Linked DNA regions of Stegostoma tigrinum. Each later gene encodes a partner of the first gene's protein in a complex. Links are inferred from orthologs where the notes say so. Each region holds a gene or a part of one and is shown on either strand. Other genes may lie near its edges.

Region 1 (8,031 bases):
CTTCTACACCACCTGACTCCACTGGTCATGTCATCACACAGCAGCCTAACATATCAAAAATTCCCATTATCAGAGATATGGCAAAAATAAGCCCCAAGCAATGGTAAATAAAAATTCTAGAAATCACAATTTAGAAATTTCAGTCACTATACTGCTGCCTGAAAGCACTATGTATTCTGACACTGTGTGCTTTAAATTCCATTTTCATGCGTACGAGGCAAGTCACATGGACTTTTCCACATAGCATATAGATTACAGTCAGTAAGAAAATCAATCCTGCCAGACACATCCATCATCTATAAGTATTTTTTGGTACAGAACACCAAATTTAAGACCAAACAACTATTTTCTTAAAAACATTTGCTAAACTAATTTTTAGTAGGTTTAACAAAATGTTGTACCAAGAACACAACTAGATGTTGAATAAAAAACTGACACCATTGTCTCACCACATTATATTTATATTTACATGTATTGGAATGCAAAGTCTTTAAAATGTTGGCAAACCAATGGCATGGCAACAGCCAGAAAGAATCTCAAGTAGAGTCCTTACAATCTTGTACACAATCAGACAAGCACTGGGTTATCAAATTTTACGTAGCTACACATCTTAAAGTCTCATGAATAGCAGACAAGTTTATTAAATATTATGAACAGTGTTGAGTACACATTATATTTAACAGTAAGACTTATTTATGGTTTACAAAAATATCATAACTTAAGATTCAGCTCTTGCCCCCACACCCTGTCCCGCCAACGAAGAGAAACTGAATGGTTTACACTGTCGAAACTTAACTGTAGTTCAAGATGTTGGAAGTCGGGGAGAATAGAAAAGATGTTAGAGGTAGGCTACCTAATGAATCTTATGCCAGCGGTTGGCTGTACGTTGGGAGAAAGTGAGAGTGTCAACGAAACATTTACAGGTGAACATAAATATATATAGGTGGTAACCGCTTTTACACTAACTGTTTTAAGATGTGTAGAACGTGTTTTCGGTTAGAGTTGCGCTGCTATAGGTTGACAACACAAACTCATGCAAAAAGAACTGAGGTACGTAGCCTGACCACCAAGGGTGAAAAACAGAAACATAATCAACATTCTCCCACCTTTTTTAAACTCCTCCAGCATCGCATCCAGCTTCGTGTCGTTGAAAACAAAATGCAAGGGGTGGTTGTAAAATTTGGTGATGGTTTTCAGAGGGGTGCAGTCGTCGGGGTCCACAAATGCCAAGTCCTTCACGAAAAGTAGGTCAACGATGTTTGACCGCTCGCCTTCGTACACGGGGATCCTGGTGTATCCGCTCTCCATGACCTCGGACATGGTGTTGAAATCCAGGATCGCGTCGCCGGTGATCATGAAGCAATCTCGCAACGGGGTCATCACGTCCTCCACCGTTTTAGTCCGGAGCTCCAGGGCGCCCTGGATGATGTTGAGCTCCTCCTTGACCAGGTCGTTGTAAGGGTCGGTGACCCGCAGCATCTCCAGCAGCTTCTCGCGGTTGTAGACGGTGCCGATCTCTTGGCCCAGGATGACATCCAGCAGGCGGCTGACCGGGTAAGAGGCCGGGAAGGTGAGCAGCATGAAGAACTTGGTCAGCACGATGGTGTTGGCGCCGACCGCCAGGCCGTGGCGGGAGCAGATGGCCTGCGGGACGATCTCGCCGAAGATGACGATGCCGATGGTGGAGACAGCCACGGCCACCACCCCGGAGCCGGCGATGTCGTCCAGCAGGATGGTCAGCGTGGTGTTGACCAGCACGTTGCCAAGCAGCAGCGAGCAGAGCAGGTAGTTACCCTGGCGGCGGACCGGCTCGATGCGCTTGGCGTAGTTCTTCTCCTTCTCGGTGCCGCAGTTCTGCACGATCCGCAGCTCCATGGGGTCCAGCGCCATCAGCCCCAGGTTCAAGCCGCTGAACATGCCCGACAGGCAGAGCAGCACCGAAATGAAGATGACCTGCAGCCAGAAGGGCAACAGGAACTTCCTCTCCTCCACCACCACCACCATGGTGTCCTCGGTGTCGTGGTACAGCCAGTCGGCTTGCCCCGAGCCCGGTTCCGGAGCCCGGGCCGCCGTGCACAGGTAGTAGGCTTTGCTCTTCTCCGTCTTGCGAAGCGGCTTCACGTCCATCTCGATGACGCCGGTGCTGCGGCGGCTCACCGCGACGCCCGGCAGCACCACGATGTCCGAGGTGCGCACCCCGCACGGGTCGAAGCCGGCCGCGTCGTCGGCCGTCCGCCGGTGCTCCGTGAAGCCGATGCGGCTCCAGGTGCTGTTGTCGATTCGCTGGCCGTACAGCCGCAGCCGGACCCGCGTCCGCTCGCTGACCCGCAGCACGCCGCCCCCCATGCCCGTCACCTCGTCCGTGTCCTCCAGCCTCAGGCCGATGATGACCGTGTCGCCCTCGTCGGAGGCGGCCGCCCGCCCGCTCAGGCTCGACAAGAGCAGGAGGACGAGGCAGCAGCAGCAAACGCTGAAGGCGGGCAGGGTGAAGAAGCCGAGCCGGCCGCTGCTGCAGGCCGCCATGTTTGTAATGGAAATGGAGGCTGTTCCCTCCCTCCCTTATCCCCTCAGGGGAAAAAAATATAATTATTTTATAAAAGCAGCAAAAGGGAGGGGAAACCGAACAGTTATATTAAGTGTCTTTTATTCCCCTTCCTGCACATTCTGTTCCATTTTGAGCGGACATAATAGAGTTTTTATGATTATTTTTATCGAAAACCAGTCACAACGTTCTCCTATTCCTCCTCAGCTCCCGCTCGCTCCCTTCAAGCTTTCAAACTGCGAGCGAACGCCGGCGCGAGCCCCAGCCAACGGTCCACGCCCCCCCACCCACCTTCCTCTCCCCCATTGGATGCATCTCCCTGCTTGACACGCTGGCCTCTCCATTCAGAGGCCGCAGAGGTGGTGGATGGGCGTGACAGGTGGTGTGAACCTCGACCAATCCACACCGTTGGGGGCGGGGCACAAGACGACAGGCTGTCCCCTGTGGTCAGAGATAATGGGAACTGCAGATGCTGGAGATTCCAAGATAATAAAATGTGAGGCTGGATGAACACAGCAGGCCCAGCAGCATCTCAGGAGCACAAAAGCTGATGTTTCGGGCCTAGACCCTTCATCAGAAAAGGGGGATGGGGACAGGGTTCTGAAATAAATAGGGAGAGAGGCATGGGTGGGGACATAGGGAGGGGATAGTCCCCTGTGAGCGGCGCGGGCCCACGTGGGAGGGCAGGTCCGATTTGGGGGAGCGGCCCGCCCATGCTACATTCCGAGTGGCCCTCAGATGGCACGTGATGTTACCGGGTGTCCAATCTGAGAGGCTGGAGCGTGCGGAGATCGCCAATGGAGAGTGTCGGGACGCGCAGGCGTCATGCTCTAGTTTTGTATCAAAAGTCAACTTGTAGTTGTCACAGGGTGTCAATTGCGCACGTGTGTGTACCTGTCAAGACAAGTCAGAGCAAATCTCAGGCTTTCACTTTCTGAAGGAGGGTCATTGAACTTGAAACATTCACTCTGTTTTCTCTCTCTCCGTAGATGACTCCTGACCTGCTGTGTTCCTGCAACAATTTCTGCGTTTGTTTCAGCACTCCGAAGTCCGCGATTCTTTGTTTTATCTGAGGCTTTCACATGAAGATGCTAATGGAATGAGTCAAACTACTAAATCTGATCGAATTTTAAAATAACGATTGTACAGCTCTTCACATTCACGTCTTAACGTTTTTACGTTCATTCTTTTTAAAACTGTAGTTTGTTTTTAATGATGTTGCAACCTCCTTCCTGTTAAAGTTCCTTTTCAAATTATATTTTTAATGAAGTTTGTAAACTGCACTTTAACTTTTTAAAAATGATGTGGAGGAGCCTGTGTTGGACTGGGGTGGACAAAGTCAGAAGTCATACAACGCCAGGCTATAGTCCAACAGGTTTATCTGAAATCACAAGCTTTCAGAGCACCCCTTCGTCAGGTGCAGTGGGAGAAAGAGCAAACGGACACAGAGTTTATAGGCAGAGAGATCAAGGGCAGAGAATTCAAAAGATCATAGAACTTTTGTGAGTGCAGTGTCAGAAAATAAGTCTCTGCAGGTGACCAAGAGTGTTAGACAGTGAGTCAAGCGTCAACAGTGAAATAACCAGCAAAAGGCTGACCTATAATTAAGTGAGGCAGAGAGATAATTACAAAAAATTAAAAATAAGGTGGTGCTGGAATAACATAAGTGATATAAGACTCACATGCCCAGGGTCTAACCAAAGTAATAAGTAATTCAAAATTGTACAATCTAATTAATGTAGAGAGATCATTTAAAAAATTATCAAGGTGATGCTGTCAAACAGGACAGTAAGGAAGATTTTACAGGTTCAGAACAGTATGGTCAGGTCACATGTAGTGTGACATGAACCCAAGATTACAGTTGAGAATGTCTTCATCTGTATGGAACTTGTCTATCAGTTTCTGCTTAGCAATTCTGCGTGGTTGTATACATCAAAGTCTGCTTTGGAGGACAGTTACCCAAAGATCGGAGGCTGAATGTCCTTGACCGAAGTGTTCCCCCACTGGGAGTTAACACCCCTGTCTGGCGATTGTTGCATGGTGTCCATTCGTCCATTGTCATAGCATTTGCATGGTCTCACCAATGTACCGTGCCTCTGGGCATCCTTGTCTGCAACATATGAGATAGACAACATTGGCTGAGTCACATGAGTATGTGCCATGTACATGGTGGGCGGTATTCCAATGTGTGATGGTAGTGTCCCTATCAATGATCTGACATGTCTTGCAGAGAGTGCCATGGCAGGGTTGTGCAATGTTCTGGTCAATGTTGTCCTGAAGGCTAGGTAGTTTGCTGCAAACAATGGCCTGTTTAAGGCTTGGCGGTTGTTTGAAGGCATGGGGATGATCTTGATGAGATGATCATCATTATTAATGACATGTTCCAGGGAATTACTGGATGACAAAGGATACCTCATTGGTCGTATCCTGTATTTGTCTGCTGAGGAGGTCATTGCGGCTTTTCACTGTAGCATGTCGGAACTGGCGATCAATGAGTTGAGCAGCATATTCTGTTCTTATGAGGGTGTCCTTCAAAACCTTTAGATGTCCATCGCATTCCTCCTCATCTGAGCAGATCCTGTGCATGTGCAGGGCTTGTCTGTCGGGAATGGCTTCTTTAATATATTTAGGGTGAAAGCTAGAGAAGTGCAGCACTGTAAGGTTATCCATAGGAACGTGGTAGAGTGAGGTACCGAGGTGTCCATCCTTGATGGAGATGCATGTGTCCAAGAATGTGACTGATTCTGAAGAGTAGGCCATGGCAAGTCTAATGGTGTGGTGAAACTTGTTGACATCACTATGCAGTGGTTATGTTGTTTCAGTGATTCCTCACCATGTGTCCAAAGGAGGAAAATATCGTCAACGTATTTGGTGTATAGCTTTGGTCGGAGGTCCTGCACAGCAATGAAGCCTTGCTCAGACTTGTGCACAAAATGCTGGCATATTGGGGTGCAAATCTGGGCGCCATGGCTGCTCCATGTGTCTGGATGAAGAACTGGTTGCCAAAGGTGAAGACATTGTGGTCAACGTTGAAGCAAATGAGTTGAAAGTTGGCATCTGGAAATTGGCAGTCAGCGGTGTTGAGGCTGTTGCAATGTTGCCATCATTGTGAGGGATGCTGGTGTAGAGTTCCGAAATGTCCATTGTGACGAGGATTGTTCCTGGTTCAACTAGCCTGTGGCTGCTGTGTTTCTATAAGAAATCTGTAGTGTCGTGACAGAAGCTGGGGTTCCTTGTACAATGGGATTCAGGATGCCCTCAACATAGCCAGAGAGGTTCTCTCACAAGGTCCCATTGCCTCATACAATGGGATGTTCAAGTGTGTTGGCTTTGTGTATCTTCAGAAGGCTGTAGAAGTCTCCTGTGCAAGAAATGCACAGGATGCTCTGAAGGTCAGGATCAAAAGTCTTGATCAGTCTGTTGACTTGTCAGGTGTGTTCTTTGGTTGGATCAGCATGTAGTTGTAGTGTTCTTACACACCACTCACCCCAGTAATCTAATCTTTTGATCTGTCAGCCTATAAACTCTGTGCCTGTGTGCTCTCCTCCCTCCCTGCACCTGACGAAGGGACTGTGCTCCAAAACCTTGTGATTTCAATTAAACCTGTTAGACTGTAACCTGGTGGCATGTGACTTCTAAATGGTCATTTGTTTTTCAACAAATCTTTTAAACTTCTTCAGTTCACATTCTTTTCAAATTGGTGTTTGCTTTTCATGAATATCAGCACCATTGCATTTATATTTTTTATTTGTTTTTTAATGAATATTATAAACCTCACATTCACATTTTTATTAACTTGTCATTTTTTATTTAAACTTATTTACATACACATTTTTTCAAAACTCATTTGTATGTCAAGAAACTCAAATTGAATTTGAGTGTTGACTTCTGTTTTAAATAAATTGTATAGATTAATAATATGTAATTCAGAAAATATATTTTTCAGCAAAATCATCTCTGATAAGAATTTCATACATCTTTTTATATCTGACCTAGAATTCCACACCTAACACCTCATCCTAAGAGTTGTCCAGACAGAAGACCCAGATTTCTTTCCTGGGAAAATTAGAAAGGGATAATGAAAATAAACCTTTTCAGCAGCCCCACAAATATACATTTTAAAAAGGAGATTATAAGCATTGTATAGGACAATGACAGAGCATTCTGATCAGATACAAAACCGAGGAAACTGCAGTGAGCAAATCGCAATGCCTAGCAACATATTAAAAGGTATAGATCAAATGATAAATTACTGTTATGCAAAGCTGTATCCACCTGCTGTAATAAAAACAAAATTCCACAGGTAGGCTTATGGGTCCAGCTGGTCTTCTAGCCTCTACAATGCCAGTTCAATCCATACTTCTTCACTTGTTGTAATACTGAACTGCATTTTGTTAGCGCTGCAAAGAAAACCATAGAATGTACTTGCTAAATTTAGTATGTTTTTGTTAAAAAAATATATTTCTAGGTTTTATAGGCTTAACACACATACATTATAATTAGAAAACCATTTGTCATACATCTAAAGTGATATGACTGGCCCTAAATCCATTCAGATTTAATAATCTTATGAATATTAATCATGGCATGTATGTCTCCCATGAGTTAACCGCAAGTTACATTCTTCCAGAATGGTGGACATGAAAACCAAAGGAATGATTCTCCAAAGGATTAATATCTGGTGAGCACAATGTGCAGTCAGCAGGTTAAAGTTGCATGGCATCAGAGAATCCATGAAGCAAAGGACTTGCATTTATGTGGTTCCATTTGTGACCACAGTATTTGACAGCCAATCAAATATTTTTGAATTGTGGTCACTTCTGTAATGTAGAAATGCACTAATCAAATTGTGCACAAGAAGCTCTCACAACAGTATTCTGTAATGTGTTCTTGTCTGAGGCATGTTGGCACAATAGATGATCTGTAGAAGAGTTGAACATTATTTAAATGGAGAAAGACTGCAGAAGGAAACAAGGATTTGGGAGTCTTCATGCACAAGCCACAAAAAGCTAGCACAGTGATACAATGGGTGATAGGGAAGGAAAATTTAATGCTAGCCTTTCTTTCAAAAGGAATGGAGTTTAAAAGTATATCTTGCTAAAACTACAAAGCACGAGTCAGTTTTGGGACCCTTACCTCAGGAAAGGTATACTGGCATTGGAGGCTGTCCAGAGAAGATTCAGTTGGCTGATCCCAGATGGGGAGGGATTTATGAGGAGAGCTTCAGTACTGTACTCATTGGAGTTTAGAAGAATGGGATTGAAACAGATTCATATTGAAACGTATAAGATTCTTATGGGATTTGACAGGCTACATGTTTCCCCTTGTGGAAGAGCCTTGGCCCAGAGGGCATAATCTCAGAATACGGGGTCACCCTTTTAAGACAGAGACCAGGAGGAATTTCTTCCCTTAGAGGACAGTGAATCTGAAGAACCCTTTACCTCAGAGGGCTGCAGAAGCGGTGGAAGGTTATTTGGGGTAGGCAGGAA
Region 2 (7,723 bases), on another chromosome or scaffold:
AACCTTGCTCACACAGACACACGAGTACAAATCTTATTGACTGAAATGATTTTTTATCTGACACTCAAAAAGAAACTTTGGAAGTCAAGTTGTTGAAACCCAGAGTAGATCTCCAGAACAAAAGGAAAGGGAATATTAACTTACAAAATGCATTATTATTACAGGTAACTGAAGATTCTTGTTAATCAGCAACAGCCCAGGTTTCTTTGCCCCTTTTGTTTTAAAAGCATCGAGCCCTTGTCATCATCTCCATCATGAAACACACGTGTACAAAACTGTCCTCCAGACTTCTGAAGCATCGAAGTACCGAAGCATCAGTTCACAAATGTAACTTAAAATTATTAACTATGGTTTTGCCTTCTTAACAAGAAAATAAAAGTAAATAAATTTACCTTCAAGTTGCACACTGTTCTCAACAGTTTCATTGCAAAGTCTGAAATTCTGGTCTGCACCCAGTAGTCTGGATCACTAATAGAGATCAGGTAAATTAGTCGAATATAGAACAATGGGTTCCTTCTGCAACATCTTTAGGAAGTCTAAATACACAACATCTACAACTTTGACCTCGTCAATCCACTGCTACTTCAACAAAAACCTTGTTCAAATTTCTTAAACATAAGTTGTACTTAAATCTATGTTGCCTTTCCTCAAATAAATCATCTGTCCAAGTGACTAATAACTATGTCCTAGATTTTCATTTCTAGAAGCTTTCCCAACATTGAGGGGTTAAACTGACTAGTCTACAGTTATTAAGCTCTTCTTGACAACTTTTCTGAATAAGAGAGCAGTATTGTCGATTACCAGTCTGCAGGCACAATTCCAGTACCTGAGGAGGATTAAAAGATTACTATCAATGCCTTTGTAACTTTTTTCAAGATGCATCTCACCCAGTTCTGGTGACTTACCAACCTTAAAATACAGCCCATCTTTGTCATCCCTCCTCCGTGTCACTTTTCTTAAAGCATTCTTTCACAGGAGGTGGCTTTCCCTGACAATTCTTGATGCCCATCATTAAGTGTCCTCTGATAAGATACAGAAGTCAAACTTTTTTGCCATCGAACAAGTGTCACACGGAGGCCCAAACCAGGTGAGGATAGCAGATTTCCTTCTCTAAACAACATTGTTTAATACTGCTGATTGATCAACTACACTGACATGGTTTCCATTTCCAAACTTGAATTTCAGACTTTTTTTATTTTAAAAAAAAATCACTAAATTTAATCTCTATTAGTGGCCATAGTGTGACTAGAACCCATGTCTGTAGTGCCTGAACCTTGCTTTACCCATTCAGCAACATAACCATGATGCCATTGTCTCCCTAATGTTTTGGCACCATCGCAACTACCTCACCTTTCAGCATCTTGAGCAGCATGTTCCTTCAAAGAGACAAATACAAGTACATATTCAGTACCTCTATTACACCCTGTTTCCTTGCATGAATCTTCTTCCCTTGATACTTAAATCAATCCTACTCCCCCTTTCACTAGTCACATGCCTAAAGACGACTTTCGGATTCACTTTTATATTGGTCATCAGTCTCTCCACCTATTTCTCCTTTCACTTACTCTCTTGATTCCTGAAGCAAAAAACTAACAAAAAAAAAACTGGTGAAATAAGATAAGAATGCAATAAAGTTTTAAAAAGGTTATGCATCAGAGCCTTTACTGATTCTAGTCCAGTGGTCTCAAAAATTTAAGGCTCTCTCACTAAACAACCTGTAGTGATCTGCTGGGTCAGTCAGAAAACAAAGTACCTTTTAAAAACACAATGCTGCAATCAACTAGTATGGAAGTATTGTAAGTACAGCTTGCTCCACAATTCAGATGAGTAATGCCTCATCTACATCTCAGCTTCATTTGTCAACCTTTCAATAGCCTACTACAGCCTCAGCTTTCAAACATTAAAAGCTCCAATTGTCCAGCGTGCATTGTCTTGTAGCTAAAGATATGAAAATATCCTGAATTTCCACCCAAAAAAGCCTCACTCGCATTACCAGTTATGACCCTCATTTCATCACCAGAACGTACATAATGACCTTCAGAAATAAGAATGCCGTAAAGTACAAATTTTGAAAAGAATCAAAGAAATTTAAACTGGTTATATTGTAAACACTTCAATTTCCAACAATGCCATTATGGAAAGGTTATGTACAAGTGGGTATCATTTTAAACTTAAATACTGTTAATCTAATTATTTGAACGACATTTTAAAACACCATAGCTGATAAACATACAATAAACGTTAGCATACAATTCAACATCTGAAGCTTCAGGAAAAAAAACGATTGAAAACAAGAATCGAATTAAGAGCATTAAAGTGAACACGAATGTGGGTGGGGGGATAAAAAAAAAGAGGGGCTGGAGACGGGTTTGGGAAGGGGGTGAGAATGAGGATACTGCCAGTTGAAAACTAATGAGTATTAATGTACAGAGTGACAAGCTATTTAAATAGGGTACCAGCTATGGCTCATGAGGATACAGTAAGATAAAACAAGAGATGAGGCGCATGGAGAGAGAAGACGTAGGTGAGGAGCAAAAAGTATAACTCTGTGGACGGAGGGGTGAGGGCGAACAGAGACAGGGAAAGAAAAAGCAGAGAGTGGTAGGGAAGATGCAAACAGAAGTGGGGGGGGCAGAGGGGATGGAAACCGGAGACCAAGTGGGAGGCGGGAAGAGGCGAGAGGGGCTGGAGACGGGTTTGGGAAGGGGGAGGGGGACTGAAATGAGGATACTGCCAGTGGAGACACCTGAGGAGGTGCAGAGTTGAAAGCAGGTTCAATAAGCTGCTGACTCGCGGGCGGTGGGCTCGGGTCCAAGGCCTACCCTGGGGACGCACGGCACTTAATCTGAGCTTGTCTGCCCGGCCCAAGCTCAAATACGGCCGGTCCCAACCCGGAGATCCTACCGAATAAATGCCGATTCGACACACAGCGGCCGACAACTCCAAACACTGGCCCATATCCCGGGATACAGGTACCGCCTCTCGGAAAAACCGGCGGCTGCGGCCACCAGACCGGAGGGCGGGGCCTCGCGACGAACGGGCACCACTAGCCCCGCCCATCACCGCAGCCACGCCCCCCCGTACCATTCCACATGACCCCGCCCCTTTCCTCTGCACGATCCCAACCCTGCCCATTCCCCATTCCTACAAATGTAATCTGGCTGAATTTCCATCTCTACTGTCATTGATGGTTTTCTACCCCGTCAGAATTCATTGCGCCTTCACCTCACTCCATGCTTCTCCATTTACTATCCCAGATTGCAGTGGATAGTGGAACACTAAGTAAATTTGAGAAGGAGGTAGACGGATTTTCAAGCAGAGCGTAAATAGAAAATGAATAGGAAAGCGGAGTGGAGGACAAGGTAACATCAGCCAAGATCCTATTGAATAGTGGAACAGTTTCAAGGGGCTTTTTGCCTAGTCTGCTCTTAGCTCTTGGGCTTTGTGTTCTTTGGGCAGTCCTATAATCAGTTATATTATAGTTCAATTACAGTACGCTGACTGCCATTATGTAACCATGAACTGTTTTGGATCCCTTATCTAAAGGAAAGATGCACTGAAAACAGAGGTGGTCAGAGTCATAGAGATGCACAGCACAGATACAGATGCTCCAGTCCATCTCATCCATGCAGGCCAGATACCTTAATCTTCATTTCCCAACATTTGGTCCATATCTCTCTAAATTCTTCATATCAACATTCATACCAATACACCACCTTCCAAACACCTTCCTGCAAAAATGCCATCCCTTATTCCCAATTCCTGGGTGCAGCTGCGGCGGAGTCGAAGGATGAGGCATTCCACTCCCGTATATCTCTGATGTCCTCGTTTTTCAAACGCCGCAACTTCCCCCCCAACCGCAGTGGTTGAGAACACCGTCGACCGTGTTTCCCGCATTTCCAGCAACTCAGCCCTCACACCCCGTCCCCGCAATAACCACCAAAAGAGAATCCCCCTCGTCCTCACATACCACCCCACCAAACTCCGGATCCAACGCATCATCCTCCGACATTTGCATCATCTGCAATCCGACCTCACCAAAGATATTTTTCCCTCCCCATCCTTGTCTGCTTTCCAGAGGGACCACTCTCTCCGTGACTCCTTTGTCTGCTCCACACTCCCCTCCAGCCCCACCACATCCTGAACTTTTCCATGCAACCGCAGGAAGTGCTACACTTGCTTCCACAACTCCTGGCCCCAAAAAGACTGACCACATCAAGCAGATGTTCACCTGCACATCTGCCAATGTGGTATACTGCATCCACTGCACCCGGTGTGGCTTCCTCTACATTGGGGAAACCAGCGGAGGCTTGGGGACCACGTTGCAGAACACCTCCGCTCGGGTCGCAATAACCAGCTGCACCTCCCAGTCGCGAACCATTTCAACTCCCCTTCCCATTCCTGAGATGACATGTCCATCCTGGGCCTCCTGCAGTGCCACAACGATGCCACCCGAAGGTTGCAGGAACAGCATCTCACATTCCGCTTAGGAACCCTGCAGCCCAATGGTATCAATGTGGACTTCACAAGCTTCAAAATCTCCCCTCCCCCCACCGCATCCCAAAACCAGCCCCGCCTCCCTAACCTGTTCTTATTCTCACTTATCCCCTCCTCCCACCCTCAAGCCACACCCCCATTTCCTACCTACTAACTTCATCCCGCCCCCTTGACCTGTCCGTCCTCCCTGGACGGGCCTCTCTCTTCCCTACCTCCCTACCTACACTCACCTTTACTGGTTCCATCCCTGCCTCTTTGACCTGTCTGTCTCCTCTCCACCTAACTTCTCCTCTATCCATCTTCGATCCACCTCCCCCCTCTCTCCCCATTTATTTCAGAACCCCTGCCCCATTTCTGATGAAGGGTCTAGGCTCAAATCATCAGCTTTCCTGTTCTTAAGATGCTGCTTGGCCTGCTGAGTTCATCCAGCTCCACACCTTGTTATCTTGGATTCTCCAGCATCTGCAGTTCCTATTATCTCTGTGTACCCATCCAGATGCCTGTTAATTGTTGTAATCGTACTAGCCTCCATCACTTCCTCTGACAGCTCTTTCCAAACACAAACCATCCCCTTCATTAAAAAGTTGCCCCTTATGTCCCTTTTAAAATTTTCCCCTCTTAGCTTAAACCTATGCCTTCTACCCTAGGAAAAGACCTTGGCTCTTGAGCCTATCTTTGCCCCTCATGATTCATAAACCTCTATAAAGGTCACCCCTTAGCCTTCGACACTCTAGGGAAAATAGCCCCAGCTTATTCAACCTGTCCCAATGGCTCTAACACTCCAACCCTGGCAACATCCTTGTAAACCATTTCTGAACCCTTTCAAGTTTTACAACAACCTTCCTTTGGCAGGGAGACCAGAATTACATGCAGTATTCCAAAAAGGGGCCAACCAATATCCTGTATAGCTGCAACATATACCTATATCCCGACTCCTATACTCAATATACTGAACAAAAAAGGAAAGCATACCAAATGTATTTTTCACTATCCTGTCAACCTGTGACTCCACTTAAGGAACTATGACTATGTACTCCAAGGCCTCTTTGTTCAGCAACATTCCCCAGGACCTTATCATTAAGTGATTAAGTCCAGACCTGATTTGTCTCTCCAAAATCCAGCACCTAGCATTTACCTAAATTAAACTCCATCTGCCATTCTCAATCCATTGGTCTATCTGATCAAGATCCTGTTGGACTCTGAGGAAGCCCTCTTTGCTTCCACTACACCATGAACTTTGGTGTCATGAACAAACATACAAACCATACCTACTATTTTCACATTTAAATCATTTATGTGAACAACAAAAAGCACAACAGAAGCTTCACTATGTTGATCCCGCATATGGAGGAGAAGTGGAGCTGTTCAGCTCTGCACTCAATCAAAGCCTTATCACATAGGCTTCTATCATAAATAACCCATTGTTAGCCACTAATAATCCCCACTTGCAGATATTCATTCCCTAGGCTGACCTTTATTCATTCCTTTGTCTGCCCAACTGTTTCTCTCTTGCTCTCTGCTCCATCTCCACCTATCATTTTCTCCTCCATCCTCCCTCCAACTCCATCTTTAGCACATTTACCAAACCTTTCCCAGCTTCAGTTTTCAAGACGACTCACTGGACTGAAATTTTAACTCTGCTTTCTCACCACACATGCTGCCAAACTTATTGAGTCATTTCAGCAATTTCTGTTTTTGCTTGTGCAAATGTAGAATATGGCCACATACAGTCATAAAAGGTGGTGGCTAATTAACCAAAAAGAGGAACATGATCACTTATAGATGCCAGTCTTCAGCCAATTCAATTAACATTACATTTAATGGTAAGATTCTGGGGGATGTGTTGCCAAACAACAAAGCAATGGAATGCAGGTTCATAGTGCCTTGAAAGTGGAGCTGCAGGTGGACAGAGTAGTCTCATAGGAATGAACCACTAGAGGAAGTGGTGGAAGCTGGTACAATTACAACATTTAAAAGGCATCAGGATAGGTAGATGAACAGGGTAATGAAGTGTGAAACTGGATGAACACAGCAGGCCAAGCAGCATCTCAGGAGCAAAAAAGCTGGCGTTTCGGGCCTAGGCCCATCAGAGAGGGGAAGGGGGAGAAGTAGATGAACAGGAAGGGTTTAGAGGGATACGGGCCAAATGCTGGCAAATGGGACTAGATTTGTTTAGGATATCAGTTCGGCATGGACGGGTGGACTGAAGGGTCTGAATCATAAAATCCCCAGTTTTCTTTTCTGTGGTATATAACTTAGCACTCAGGTCCACACCAATGTCCACAATATAAAAGTATGCAAACCGAACCCTCTTTAATGCTAATTTCTGGCATTGAAACCAAGTCTTCAGAACAAATTCTGAAATGGAATGCACAAAACAACCGGAATTTTATCCAAAAATGTAGGGTCCCACTGTGCTAATAATAATTATTACCCAGTTCAGTTAATTCATGTAATGATTACCTTTGAAATGCCACCAAACATTGCGACTGTAGGAAAATAAGGGAAAGAAAAAGGAATGCCATTAGAGCATAGAAAGCCTCTGCTGTCAGTTATGACGTATAGGAATATTAATGGCATATTTTCTTGAAAGTATAGCTAAAGCCCAACATTAGTAACTTATCGTCAAAACAAAATAGGCGGACTCTGAAGAAGGGTCCTAACCCAAAACATCAACTTTCCTGCTCCTCTGATGCGACCTGGCCTGTTGTGTTTCTCCAGGTCCACACTGTTACCTCTGACTCCAGCAGTTGCAGTTCTTACTACCTCTATAGGAGCTGTTAATGTCTTTTGCTGTCAAAAGTATAACGTTTGCTCGCTTTCCTTTCCAAAGATAAACTCAATATTGTCAGTGAAGAACTTTTTTTCCATTGTACAATTCTGTAGCATCTTTACGATTGACAAGGACGGGGAAACAATTTTCTCATATACAAAGTACTTTTAAAATAGGATCCGTTGTTGAAAAGCGAGACATGCTTCCAAAGCATTTTAGATCATTTTAATCATCCTGTTCATACATGCTATCAGATATCTCTGAAGCAGATGGGATTTGAATCCAGGCTTACTGGATACTGTACTGAGGAAGTGACAATGAACCCAAAAAGTTAACTCCAATTTCTCTCCACAGATATGCTGGGCTTTTCCAACAATTTATTTTTATGTTTCTGGACCCCATCACTGTGGCATAAGTCAATGGATTTTTTAAAATCTAGCAATATCTCGGCTA

Evidence for each region. The genes of interacting proteins can lie anywhere in the genome.
Region 2: the proteins of metal transporter CNNM2-like (region 1) and ADP-ribosylation factor-like protein 15 are in contact, whole or in part, in a crystal structure (PDB 8F6D), measured with the Homo sapiens proteins. The link is inferred for Stegostoma tigrinum from reciprocal best matches to the Homo sapiens genes CNNM2 and ARL15. Residues at the interface, in NP_060119.3 of Homo sapiens: Asn490, Val492, Pro521, Leu522, His523, Phe524, Val525, Phe526, Thr529, Glu537, Lys542, Ser543, Gln549; in NP_061960.1 of Homo sapiens: Tyr92, Ser94, Arg95, Gln98, Gln128, His129, Pro130, Gln131, Cys133.

What each region holds. Positions count from the first base shown.
Region 1 is NC_081373.1:8,219,602-8,227,632, reverse strand, and holds the start of metal transporter CNNM2-like, read right to left. Parts: upstream 3,097-8,031; 5' UTR 2,524-3,096; coding exon 1,107-2,523; intron 1-1,106.
Region 2 is NC_081354.1:126,662,039-126,669,761, reverse strand, and holds the start of ADP-ribosylation factor-like protein 15, read right to left. Parts: upstream 3,034-7,723; 5' UTR 2,959-3,033; coding exon 2,905-2,958; exon of another isoform or gene 2,823-2,904; intron 469-2,822; exon of another isoform or gene 426-468; coding exon of another isoform or gene 393-425; intron 1-392.